Linked DNA regions of Cricetulus griseus. The protein of the gene in region 1 interacts with the protein of each later gene in a pairwise test. Links are inferred from orthologs where the notes say so. Each region holds a gene or a part of one and is shown on either strand. Other genes may lie near its edges.

Evidence for each region. The genes of interacting proteins can lie anywhere in the genome.
Region 2: the proteins of bystin (region 1) and Hmbox1 interact in binary tests that used the Homo sapiens proteins (3 or more experiments, as listed by UniProt). The two-hybrid records come from large-scale screens. The link is inferred for Cricetulus griseus from reciprocal best matches to the Homo sapiens genes BYSL and HMBOX1.
Region 3: the proteins of bystin (region 1) and Necab2 interact in binary tests that used the Homo sapiens proteins (3 or more experiments, as listed by UniProt). The two-hybrid records come from large-scale screens. The link is inferred for Cricetulus griseus from reciprocal best matches to the Homo sapiens genes BYSL and NECAB2.

What each region holds. Positions count from the first base shown.
Region 1 is NW_023276806.1:255,579,701-255,584,188, forward strand, and holds the start of bystin, read left to right. Parts: upstream 1-1,464; 5' UTR 1,465-1,560; coding exon 1,561-1,825; intron 1,826-4,488. Other genes in the region: mediator of RNA polymerase II transcription subunit 20, read right to left, coding at 1,042-1,055. UniProt on the Homo sapiens protein: Required for processing of 20S pre-rRNA precursor and biogenesis of 40S ribosomal subunits. May be required for trophinin-dependent regulation of cell adhesion during implantation of human embryos.
Region 2 is NW_023276807.1:219,856,078-219,859,958, reverse strand, and holds part of Hmbox1 (homeobox-containing protein 1), read left to right. Parts: intron 1-2,097; coding exon 2,098-2,180; intron 2,181-3,521; coding exon 3,522-3,617; intron 3,618-3,881. UniProt on the Homo sapiens protein: Binds directly to 5'-TTAGGG-3' repeats in telomeric DNA. Associates with the telomerase complex at sites of active telomere processing and positively regulates telomere elongation.
Region 3 is NC_048596.1:196,094,894-196,098,774, forward strand, and holds part of Necab2 (N-terminal EF-hand calcium-binding protein 2), read left to right. Parts: intron 1-2,580; coding exon 2,581-2,717; intron 2,718-3,881. UniProt on the Homo sapiens protein: May act as a signaling scaffold protein that senses intracellular calcium.

The sequences.
Region 1 (4,488 bases):
TAAACTGACACTGTGACAGAAACTCTGTGATTTTGAGAGAGTTGAACCGATACTAGTAGGAAGGGAAACCTTTTCTCTGTATAATGAACCCTAGGCAGGCAGGCATTGGTGGAGCACTCCTGTGATCCCAGGATGCAGGAGTCAGAGGCAGGTGATCGACAGCCCATAAAAACATATACAGAAATGTTTTATAGGGCCCAGTGACTCTGCTGTGATTTCTATTTTCACTGCTGACAGGTACTTTTTACGGTGTGATGAGGTTGAGATAAGGCTCCTGGTGTCAACTAATTTGCACGTATAGTAGTCACTAAAAACCCTGCAAGAGCCTGGGTTTCCTGAAGAACATCCCACACACACATTATACAGAACAGCTGGGAAGACACACACCACTACCAAGATTTTTTTTAACGTGCTGAAGCCTAGTACTTTGGAATTAATGCCCTGAAGAAAAGCACGGTGTCCAGACATTACCAATCACCTCTCTTTTTCCAAGTGAGATTTAAAACACGTTTCAGATAAAAAACAAAAAAAAACCCAAACCTGACTCAAACATGTAGGAAGTGATTCTTGGATAGTTAATGTGCCTGGAACCCCGACCTCCAAACCTCCAACAGCTCCTTTTCCTCTCCCTCTGACATTAGACCAAATTAAAGCCAGGCTATTATTACTGCAAGCAAAATGTAAAAGTCACTTTCTCCTAGAGCGCCCCCCTCTTTTTTATCGCTGCCTGCAAATAATTCTTAGTGCGAAAGCCTATTCCCAACTTTTAGGTCCTATTGGCGACAATACTATGGCCTGACGGACATGAAGAAGTACCAAGAAAAAGAAGGTACGACTCCTGACAGGTTCCTGGAATGAAGAGTTGGCTTTGCCAAAAGGATGCGCCTGGGAAGGAAGAAGCACCACACGGCGTCCCTTGCTGCAACACGACCCGAGGACATCTTTGTCAGCCCGCGAGGAACCGAGAGCTTCCGTCCCGATCCCCCTCCTGGGGCCTTCACGACCCCAAGCTCCGTCCCACAAGAGCCCCTGCAGTCCTACCAAGTCACTCCCATGGCGCAGGGTCAAAGGGGTGGCACTGCCAAACACTCGAAGTCAAGGGATCCAGAGGCCCCTGGAGGTAGAGCCGCCTAAAGCAGGATGCAGGCTCCGGAAATACGCAAAATCTGAGCGCCAGAGCGGTACACCCACAGAAGGGAGGCGTGCCCGGGCGCTCCAGCGATGAACGAATTCCGTCATCAGCCCGGCTCCGCCCCCAGGGCGCGCTTTGCTTTGACAGGACCTCTCAGGCTACATTCATGAATTCTGTCTGGAAAAGGTGACTTGGGACATCCACCCACTTCCGTACAATGAGATTACCTGAGAATCTGGGGAGTCCAGCTCCCGCCCCGGAGCTCCTGGAGAGATGGCGGTATATGAGGCACTTCCGGCCTCCGAACGCTGGGGGGCGCTGTGAACTCTCGGTGACCTCCCGAGCACCGGAACACAGGGCGCAGACACAGTCCTAGTTTTAAACCGGCTTCCCACGTGTGAGTAGCATCGGCAAGTTTTTCGAGAAAAATGCCCAAATTGAAGGTGGCCCGCGGGGCCCGGAATCAGGAGAAGCATGCACCTCTGGCCGAGCAGATTCTGGCTGGGAATGCAGTGCGCGCGGGGACCCGAGACAAGCGGCGGGGACGCGGGGTTGAAGAGGAGGAAGAGTATGTTGGACCCCGGCTGAGCAGACGCATTTTGCAGCAAGCCAGGCAACAGCAGGAGGAGCTCGAGACTGAACACGGGACTGCAGACCAGCCTGCAAAGCCACGGGAACGCGCCACGCGGCTGGGTGAGTGACACGGGCTGGAGTGGTGGCATGGGCCGGACTAGCTCAGTCCATCCGGATACGGGTTTGGAATTACAAAGAGGAGGCAGTTTTTCCTTCCCGCGTGGTCCTTCACTTCAACGCGTACCTTCTGGAACCTACCTCAGAGTTCCAACAGGAAGTAATCACTCACACCAAGTTCCAGTATTTATTCTCTGGGCTTGTGAAGTATGACTGTGTTTCCTGTGCAATGCTTTGAACTGTGTTAAGAGTTCAGGCAGTTCTAAGCCGGGCGGTGGTGGCACACACATTTAGTCCCAGCACTCGGGAGGCAGAGGCAGGCTGATCTCTGTGAGTTCGATCCACAGAGAAACACTGTCTTGAAACCCCCCCCCCCAATAAAAAAGAGTTTAGGCAGTTCTGATACCGAAATAAACAATGTACTCGTCCTTGCTTTTAGCACCGGAAGTCTACCCCAAGGCAGAGAATATTAAATAGAGTAACATATTCCAGCAATGAGCAGCGGTGCTCGCCTGTAATCCCAGCAGGTGAGAAGCTGAGGCAGAAGAAGGCCCTCGTGGACTACATAGTAAGGTCCAGATCAGCCTGATATACATGGTATACCTCTATCGATCGAGACAGTAAAAGAAAATGAATATATTCCTATTCAAAACAACAACAACAAACCCGCCATTAATTCAACAGGCCAGGCACCCCAGTTTTGTGCCCTGCCGACTAAGATATAAAAAACATGGGAAATGTTCCATTAACCGAGGCAGGAAAACAGTTTAGAATCGAGTGGGGGTGGGCGGCAGAGATGAGTGGGAAAGTACCTGATACTTGTCTCATTGGGAAGGTTGACCTCCAGTTTCTTAGTCTTGCCTTCTTATTCTAAAAGCAGTATTGAGATGATTGAATATGGCTTTAGGGCCATAGTAGCTTTACTTCCTTGTTTTGAGGTAGGGTCTCATTCCCAGGATGGCCTCAAACTCTGTATGTAGGTGAGGATGACCTTGAACTACTGATTTTTGCCTCTGTTTTTCCAACTGATGGCAATATAGATATTTGACACCACACCTGCCCTTAAATTTTTGTTTTTAAATTACGATACTGTGTCTCCTTAAGTTACTCATGCGGGACTTGAACTTGCTCTGTGACCAGAGCAGGCCTGAGTTTTAGGTTTTCCTGTGTTGCTGTCTGCAGATTCCGGTTTGAAACCATGCATTTGATGACTACTCCCAGCTTTTTCTCTCAGACATAGTTCTTTCAGTAAACTAACATCCCTATATCCACCTGTCTACCTGACATCTCACTGCTTGCTCCATGGAGTCTCTTAGCACATTAGCCTCCCCTTGCTCAAGGCTCCTCTTTCTCATTCTACATCAGGTTTGTCAGTAAACCCTGATGATTTGTGTCTTCAGGATATATCCACTTCCTTAGCTTGGAACATCCTCCTGTTTGAGTTCCCTTGAATCACTGTGGGAGCATCATCATTTACTGTTCTCTAACGTCTGTAATCCATTCGTCAGCTAGTGATCAGTGACAACCTGTTGGGTCCACCTCTGCTGACCAGATGCTAGGGAGGTGATGAGAAAATTCAGTTGGTGAAATACATGCTTTGGAAGCAAGAGCCCCTGACCTCAATACACAGCAGCTCGTAATCCCAGAACTAGGGGGTTGAAGACAGATTTCCTGGTCTACATAGTGAGCTCCAATCAGCCAGAGCTACACAGAGAAACCCTGTCTCGAAAAACAAACCAAAAAAAGGCACTTATTTTTTCAGAAAGACGAGAGTTTGGTTCCAAGTATTCACATGCCAGACCACTGCTATCTATAACTCCAATTCCAAGGGCTCATATGCCCTCTTCTGACCTCTTTGGGCACCAGGGACATTTATGACTCACAGGCATACACATAAAATAGTGTATATAAGTCTAAAACAAAATTAAAAAAAAAAACCAACAAAACATGGGTCTCGCTGGACATGCTCTGCGTACTCTCCTGAGCTATGTGTACCCTTAGTCCAATTCTGTTGCAAATGACCTGTTGTTATATAATATTTCAACTCCTTTGGTTTGTTAGACTCTTCCAGGGTCTTTGCCAGCTATGTGTGGTGTTTCAAAAGTCAGCCAGGTGTATTGGCACGTGACTTTAAATCTGAGCACTAAGGAAGCAGAGGCAGACAGATTTCTGTGAGCTTGAGCAAGTTCCATACCAGCCAAGGTTACATGGTCAGACCCTTGTCTCTCAAAAACAACAACAAAAACAAACAAACCAAGAGTTCAGTGTTAGAATTACAAACATGGACCACACTGTCTAACACTTGGGAGGTAGAGACAGAAGAACAGCCTCAGGGCAACACATAGACTAATAGAAATGGGTTAATTTCAATTAAAAAGCTAAGCAGAAACAAGCCTAAAGCTAAGGCCAAACATTCATAATTAGTAGTAAGACTATGTCATGATTTGGGCTCTGGCAGTCCCAAGAAAGCCTGCTGCTCCGAGTCTGTAACTTCACATGTATATATTGGTTGATTAGAAACCAAATACCGCTGCCTAGCCTTGGGGCCTTCCCGGTTGGATGTACTTTTCCTTTGTGGTCCTATGGTCCTATTTCTGGCTCTGGCTTCTTAATGCCCAACAGTAATATTAAAGTCCTTTTCTAGGATATGAGACACACACTTCTTC
Region 2 (3,881 bases), on another chromosome or scaffold:
TGTTATCTTCCTGTAAAGCACATGTAGAATTATATTTCTGTTGTATGGAAACCTCTCAGGCTCTCCAATGATTTCAATGGCTGGTCCTTCATCCTTAGAGGACAGACAAGTACATTGCAAGCTTGCTCCCTCCCCCTCTGAAGAAGTGATAGGCACTAGCACTGATCTCATCGCATCATCCTACGAAGCCCATGCTCTTAACACACTGTACTCCTCTCAGTGCCCAGGGTTCTCATGGCCTCATCTGCCATCCCTGCCTGACAGTACCAGTCCTCAAGACCTAGCTCAGACTTGCCTATGACATCTTTGCAGACTCCTCCCACAACTGGGCATACCAAACTGTCCACAAATCCTATGGCCTTTCACTATAAGTACATTTATGAATATCTCTCTCAAGTAGATTGTGAGCTCCTTGATACCAGAAACCAATTCTTTACCCACATTGCCAAGCACATATTAGGTAATTCATATCTACTTGGTGAATTGGGGGGTAAATGAGTAAGTTGGGTGAGATTTCAGATGTTAGTGTGCATTCTGGTTACTGAGTTTGCTCCAGGTGAAGCTGTATGCTGCTGCCATGACCTAACCAGAAGTTAGTTCAAGTAAACACAGAAGCCAAGACCAAATGGACCTGGAGCCCCTGTGAGCATGGTGACTTAGACTGAACACTGGCACTCCTCGGACCATGCAGGAGGAGATCCTTACACTGAGAGAAACAGCAAGGAACCACGTAGAACATGGTCAAAGACAAGAGTGGGAGCGTATGGTTGGGAGGCTTATAGAAGATCGAGAAGCGAGGCAGCAGCTCTACCCAGACTGAAGTGAAGGTGTGCCTTCCATATAGAGACCTCAAGGGAGGAGAAGGCAGCAGGGGTCAGGTTGGAGCTCTTAGGAGGAAAGGAGCCTCTGAGGCATTTGTGCAATGAGTGGTCTTTCTGCCATCGCAGAGTGGCGGATTTTCAGGAAAGGGGTGGTCCTGAAGAAATGGTAGGTACTAAAATCCAACGGTCATTGCCTCATTGTCACTTTCCAGGCTCAAGGTGTGAAAGTTCTCTTTTTCTTTAAGTTCATAGGTGTCAGAAAAAGTAGCACTAATAATAGCATTCTGTTCCCATCTACCTTTTATGAGTCTGCTTGATCTAACAACAGATTTTATAAGCCTCATGTATTAAATACCGTTGAACCAAAGTAATAATCTACTTCGTAACATACAAAAACAAAATGTGTCAGTATCCCACTACGCCCCTTCTTCAACAGTGAGCGGTGGGTGTTCTCAGCCTGATGTGTATTCTTCACTTTTACCCATGTGAAACAACACACATGCAGACAGGGATCTTCTAATTCTTGGCGTTTTTTTTGCTTGTACATTATTTTGCAGATTGTTTTTCTCACTTAGGAATATGCTATAAACATCCATTCAGGTCAGTAGACAGAGTGCTAACTTATTTCCTTCCTAGTTGTTTTAAAAAAGCTGTGTATAAATATAGATACCACATAATTTGTTCTGTCATCCCTTGTTTGTGGATAATTGGGTAATTTCCAGTTTTTGCTACTATTAAAAAAAAAAAAAAAATGACCAAAAGAGAAAAAGCCGTGTTGATACCAGTGCTTTAGTGGCATGGCTCTTGTTGCTCTGTGACTTTGGTCAGTCATGTACACCATTGTCCATACCCCTTACCTCTCCCCCTCACTCCCTCCCTCCTCTTAGCTCTCCCCTCCCATTATTCCTCTTGCTTCCTGATTAGTTTTACTTCTGAAATCATGTCTTACACACATCCACAATTTTATGTCGATATAAAATCTAGGAACCACTCATGAGAATAAGCATAATATGTTTCTAAGACTAGCTTAATTGAGTTAAGATGGTTATCACCAGGTGGATTCATTAAAAAAATAACTTATCTTAGAGGCACAATAGCACGTAGCCACCAGTCACATACAGTAAGTTCAGTTAAGTAAAAGGTAAATAGGTCTTACATTGGCTTTCTCCAGGAAGTTTTTGTGGCCATCCTGAACTATACCAAGTCACATCTTAAAGAAGACCTTTTAATGGGTACATTTTAAAGTAAAATGTGTCTTTGTTGGTTGCCCCTGCAGTTACTTCAATGAGAATCAATACCCAGATGAAGCAAAGAGAGAAGAGATTGCCAACGCTTGCAATGCAGTCATACAGAAGCCAGGTAAGGAGGTGAGCTCAGAGGGCAATGTTCACTTACACTCAGTGGTCTGGACACTCGCCCTCCTAATGCAGGTCCCAGCCAGTGTTCTCCAGATAGTACTCCTGATGTTAATGTGGCGTGACTGAAGTGCTCACACACAATGACTCTCCATGACACTTGAGGCCTTGAAAGGTTTTTTAAATTATGGATTTGTTTTTCCAAAATTTAGCATAAACTTATCAATTCTGAAATAATGATAAAGTGTGAAAATTCAAGCGAATTTTGTTAGTTAAAGAATGTAAAACCATTTTCTTCACAGTTGCTATAAAACTGCACGGTCTTTATTTCTTTGTGGGGCAGCTTTTGGGGGTTGGGGCTTTTCACATTGGGATGACTTCTGCCTGGCTAAGAGAACATGGTGGTTCCCTTTTGAAGTCTCCGTGGGGGTTTGCAGCCACTCTGGTACTTCCTATGTGTCTTATCCCCTGTGTACTTCAGAGACTAGACACAAGCAGCTAGTTTCTGCATGGCCACTTGTTTTGATGGCTTAAAGACTATGTGAATATCAGAGTTTCATACAGTGAAGGGGGATTAGTCTCCTTTAGAAAGCCAGCCTCCGGTGATATCTACCTACATGCTCGGCTCTACCCTCAGGCGAGAGGAGTCTGTACCTTGGGTGAATAGGCCTACAGTCTCAGTGCAGGGATTGGCTCCCTCTGGAAAACAAATACAGATTAAAAGTTGAAAACAAGAGGACAGGAGAGCAGGGGGCAGTGCAGATGGCTGCTTACATGTTAGTATGGTATCTCCATAATAATTAACTGTGATGGCTGAGAAGACAGTAAATCTAAACTCTACCCTGAGTGGTACTGTGTATTACAGAACAATCACATGGCCATTCGCCTTCAACACAGCATGTATCTCTTATCTTACATAAGGTATAACATGTATGTTAAGAGACTAGGAAACTAAGAAGTCATTTTATGTTATCTGTACACTTCCATAAAGGATAACATCCCTCTCAATGATGCTAATTAAATGACACCTCCGTGGTACTAATCTGGGAACTACGATTTGATCTGGAACCCTAGTAAACGGACTTTGTGGGATTTTTTAAGATTGAGTGTGTCTCCCTGAGTTGTGGCTAGCTATATATTCATTTGTGTGTTTGTTGATGCAGTAATAATTTTAGTGGGTTCTTAGTACTAAGCAATGTAAAAAAAAAAAAGATTCCATCCCATCTGTTATTTTGGCAATAAATAGAATAAAAAGCAACTTTTAGCAGAGATATATTTCTTGAGAACAGTTCAGTCTTGGATCTAAGATACAGATTATCTGAATTTTTTTTGCATGTATTCACAGGCAAAAAGCTGTCCGACCTGGAACGAGTTACCTCTCTGAAAGTCTATAATTGGTTCGCTAATAGACGGAAGGAGATCAAGAGGAGAGCCAATATCGGTAATGTATCAGAGAGACTACTTTCTCTCATGAGAAGGTTAGAAATGGGATAAGAGTGTCCAGTTTATGAGCTGCGGGTCTAAGTGATTGCACAATTAGTTTCGACTAGAAGCACCATTGCTTTTCTTTGTTGCCTTTTTAATAGCAAGATCAGTGTTACCTGAACTTTTTTATTTATACTTTAATAACAACTCTGTTATTAAATGATTGTTCTTAATGTTCTAGATTGTAGAATTAACCCCTGAGCAACGGGTTACTCGTGTG
Region 3 (3,881 bases), on another chromosome or scaffold:
CTGATGGGGTGCGGCCCAGCTGCACCATGTTTAATCAGCTCCGGAATGGTGTCTGCACCCAGGAGACTGTGGCTGCCTTTCTTCATTATGAGTGTTCCATCCAGGCTGGAGGCTCTTGCAATCCTTTGTTCTTCCTCCATTTCATTCTTTCTTCATCTCTTTTACACTCTTCCTTTTGATGCTCTGCTCTGCTTCATTGACTATGACTCAGAAGATAAAAATCTTCATTTTCATCTTATTAGTGGCTTCTGAAGCCGGGCATGGTGGCGAAGTAATTTAATCCCAGTACTCAGGAGGCAGGTGGATCTCTGTGAGTTCAAGGCCAGCCTGGTCTACAGCGCTAGTTCCAGGACAGTCAGGACTACACAGTGAGACCCTGACTCAACACACACACACACACACACACACACACACAGAGAGAGAGAGAGAGAGAGAGAGAGAGAGAGAGAGAAAGAAAAATCTCTGTAAACATCCTTAATCCTATTTTTTATTCTTAAATCATTAAAAACATTTCCTGTTCACTTTGAAGATGAGGGGATACTGAGATGGGGGATGAAGTGTCAGTAGTTTGACTTAATCTAATCATTGAGACGGCACAGCTTGTCAAGGAGCTTACTACCAAACCTAATGACCTGAGTCCAATCCCAAGGACTCACATGGTGGAGGGTGAGAACAGACTTCCACAGGTTGTCCTCTGACCTCTATGCATGCATCATGGCACAAGCACACACATGCATACATAAAAATACACACACAAATAAATAGTGAACAATTAGTGGCTAACGTATTTTCTTTCTTTACCTCGGAAGCCACTGCTCACACAGCATCTGTCTTAGGGGATCTTTCTCTGTGGCTCGAGCCTGGATGTTAGAGGAGATTCTCCACTGATCACTCTCTACACAGTCACCTGGCAAATCAAATGCTCTTCAGGGTTCTGGGTGGCTCTCAATGACTACAAATGGCTTGTCACAGGGTGCACCCACAATAGCCCCCCGGCCCTCCACTGCAGAGCTGCTCTCGGCTCTTGGCAGAGGAAAAAAGGGTAGTGTCTCCATCGCTGCTCTACCCCGCAGAAGGTGACCTGTCTTTGGAATTCACATTTTCTGCATTTACTGACTGCCTTGTCAGGCCCTGGTCTGATTGATGTGAACCCACGTCCCACTCCTGTCCGGTAGCCTTTTCGGGGGGAGGGGTGCTTATTTACGTATTTGTTTGTTTTGATCATATTATGTCATCTTGGTCATTTGGAGGCATTCCGTAGTCGGAGTCCATGGGTGGCATCAGGTTGTTAGAAAGACAGCCAGGGGCTGCCTGCACCTCAGACTAGGGTGTCTTCTCCACCAGCGTCTGCCGGCAATGGCTCCAAGCCAGGCCTTGGGACAGAATGTCCACTTTCATGTACCCTCCCCCTGTGCCACCCCCACGCCTTCTTCCTCAGGCTCTCTGTCTTCCAGCCATGTTTCCCAATGTGTAATTATTGCTAATTAATTCCCAGTCAGAGTGATGGATAGTTTAATTTGCTTTCCTTGAGAGGCTTGTTTTCCCCTGCTTTGCCAGGGACTGGGCAGAGTTCCAGTGTACAGAGGGAGGGGTCACTCCAGAGGGTGAAGTCTCAGCGCTGGAGGTCCAGCACTCTCCCCACCCACCCTCCCTGGCGGTGGTTACCTCCGCACCCCTGTTGGCTCTAAGAATCCAAACTTCTCCCGTCTCTGCAGCCTTGTGCAGAGGCAGGGATCTCCACGAGGGATATCAGTACTGAAGTCTTACCAGAGGGAGAGGTTCTGCTGCACACCGTACAGCACCCCCCCTCTCTCCAGAGCTTGCTCCCCACCTCTCCACTCCCCCTACTTTTGTGCCCCCACTTCTGAGCACAGGTCTCAGAGGATTTCTTTGGGAGCCATTTAACTTTCTTGCCTGCTCCAATTTTCTTCAGTTAGTTGTCTGAATAGTGACATGAAGACTTAGGGCCACAAAGAATTCTTGTGGAAGCAAGAAGGGAGCGGAGTCCATGAGGCCATATTCCCTGTTGCTTTCTCTCTACTACAGAAACAAAAATGCCACTCAGCGATTGCTGGCATTGTTACCAGCATTGCAGCCATTATCATCACCATCACCACCACCACCACCACCATCACCATCACCAGCATCACTGTTATCAACACTGCCACCATCGCCATGGTAATTGTCACTGCCAACATCTCCATTGCTGTCTTGACCATCAACATTGCCATTGCCATCATTCACCAACACCATTGCCAACATTATTATCACTGCCACTTTTATCACAGCAGCTACAGTTTACTATCTGTCATGTGATGGACACTGTGCCAAGCATCTTATACTCATCTGGTCCCTGATAGGTAAGATGGCAGAATGTACTACCACTGGCTGGGTTTGGAGAAGTGATCCAAATGAAGCCAGAGGTCCTGCTTTGGCCTCTGAATCTGGGGCCCTGCTGTGTATGCTCTGCACCTCTAAGATGCAGGAGGCAGTGCAAGGCCCCACAAAGCAGAGACATGAGCCCAAGGTGTCCCCAGCCACTGTGCCAGCCCACATCCAGGTTCTCCCCACTGATCCCAGGTGTATGAAGGTGGGAGCAATGTGGACCAGTTTGTGACCCGATTCCTTCTGAAGGAGACAGCCAATCAGATCCAGTCGCTGCTCAGCTCCGTGGAAAGTGCTGTGGAAGCCATTGAGGAACAGACCAGCCAGATCCGGTAGGTCAGTGGGACATATAGGGGGTACTTACAGCAGCCTGACCCTTTGTGTACCTCAAATCTTGGTGACCTTGGCCAAATTGCTGCACCTCTCTTTCACTCCCCAACTGCAATATGAAGATACACTTAGGACCTACTACCTGAGTTGTGAGACTTACATGGGACAGAACGTACTTAGGAGAATGGTTGATATGGGACATGCAACCATAGATCTTGTCACAGTTCTCCTTGTTCTTAGCTGGAAAGACTGAAGTCCCAGTCCAGGCCTGCTGCCTGGCTCACTTCTGAACACCAGAAACCAGCTTGGGAAGTGGTATCTGGCTACAGGATGGGGGATGTCACATGGTAGAAGTGAAATATCCAGAGGGAAATGTGTTCCTGCCGGGAGCCCTCCAGATCCCCAAGGGCGGCTTCTTTTTGACCTGGAGAGCTGCAGAGATGGAAGGAGCTACTGAAGGCAGCATAGGACCAAACTAATGCTGAAGGAGATGCTGGCGAGGGATGGAGTTCAAAGGGCTGCTCCTTTGTCTCTGGGTACATGGGCAAGCATGGGGGTTTCTCATGGGCACTGAGGATGCTGTGTGCTTGGTGCCTGGACTGGGACTTCAGTCTTTCCAGCTAAGAAGGGCCTGCTCAAAAGGATATGTGATAGGTAGAGTTTTAGTTGGGTGCGGTGGTAGGGGTGGGAGAGAGAAGTGGGATTGTCATGTAAAACAATCTTGTATCCAATTCAAATAAAAATATGCAAAAAGAAGAAGAAAAGAAGAAGAAGAGAAGAAAAGAAGAAGGAAAAGAAGGAGAAGGAGAAGGAGAAGGAGAAGGAGAAGGAGAAGAAGAAGAAGAAGAAGAAGAAGAAAAAGAAGGGCCTGCTCAGCTTAGAGCACAGCCACATGCTGCCTACAGCTGACTCAGGAAACTCCTATCTGTTCAGATCAGAAAAGGGGAAATGGGACCCACACACAGGCGGGCAGCTGCCAGGGAGCCCATATCCCTGGGCTATCCAGCCTTGGCTTTATCAGTGTACAACTTCAGGGTGCCTGGCAGAGGGGCATAGTGGGAGCAGGATGTTCTTTTGCTGTGGGGTGGGGTTTGAGTGGGAGTCACTTGGTCAGTGAGGACCTCAGATAGGGTTGTGAGGGGTTCTTAATGACATTGTTGCAAAAA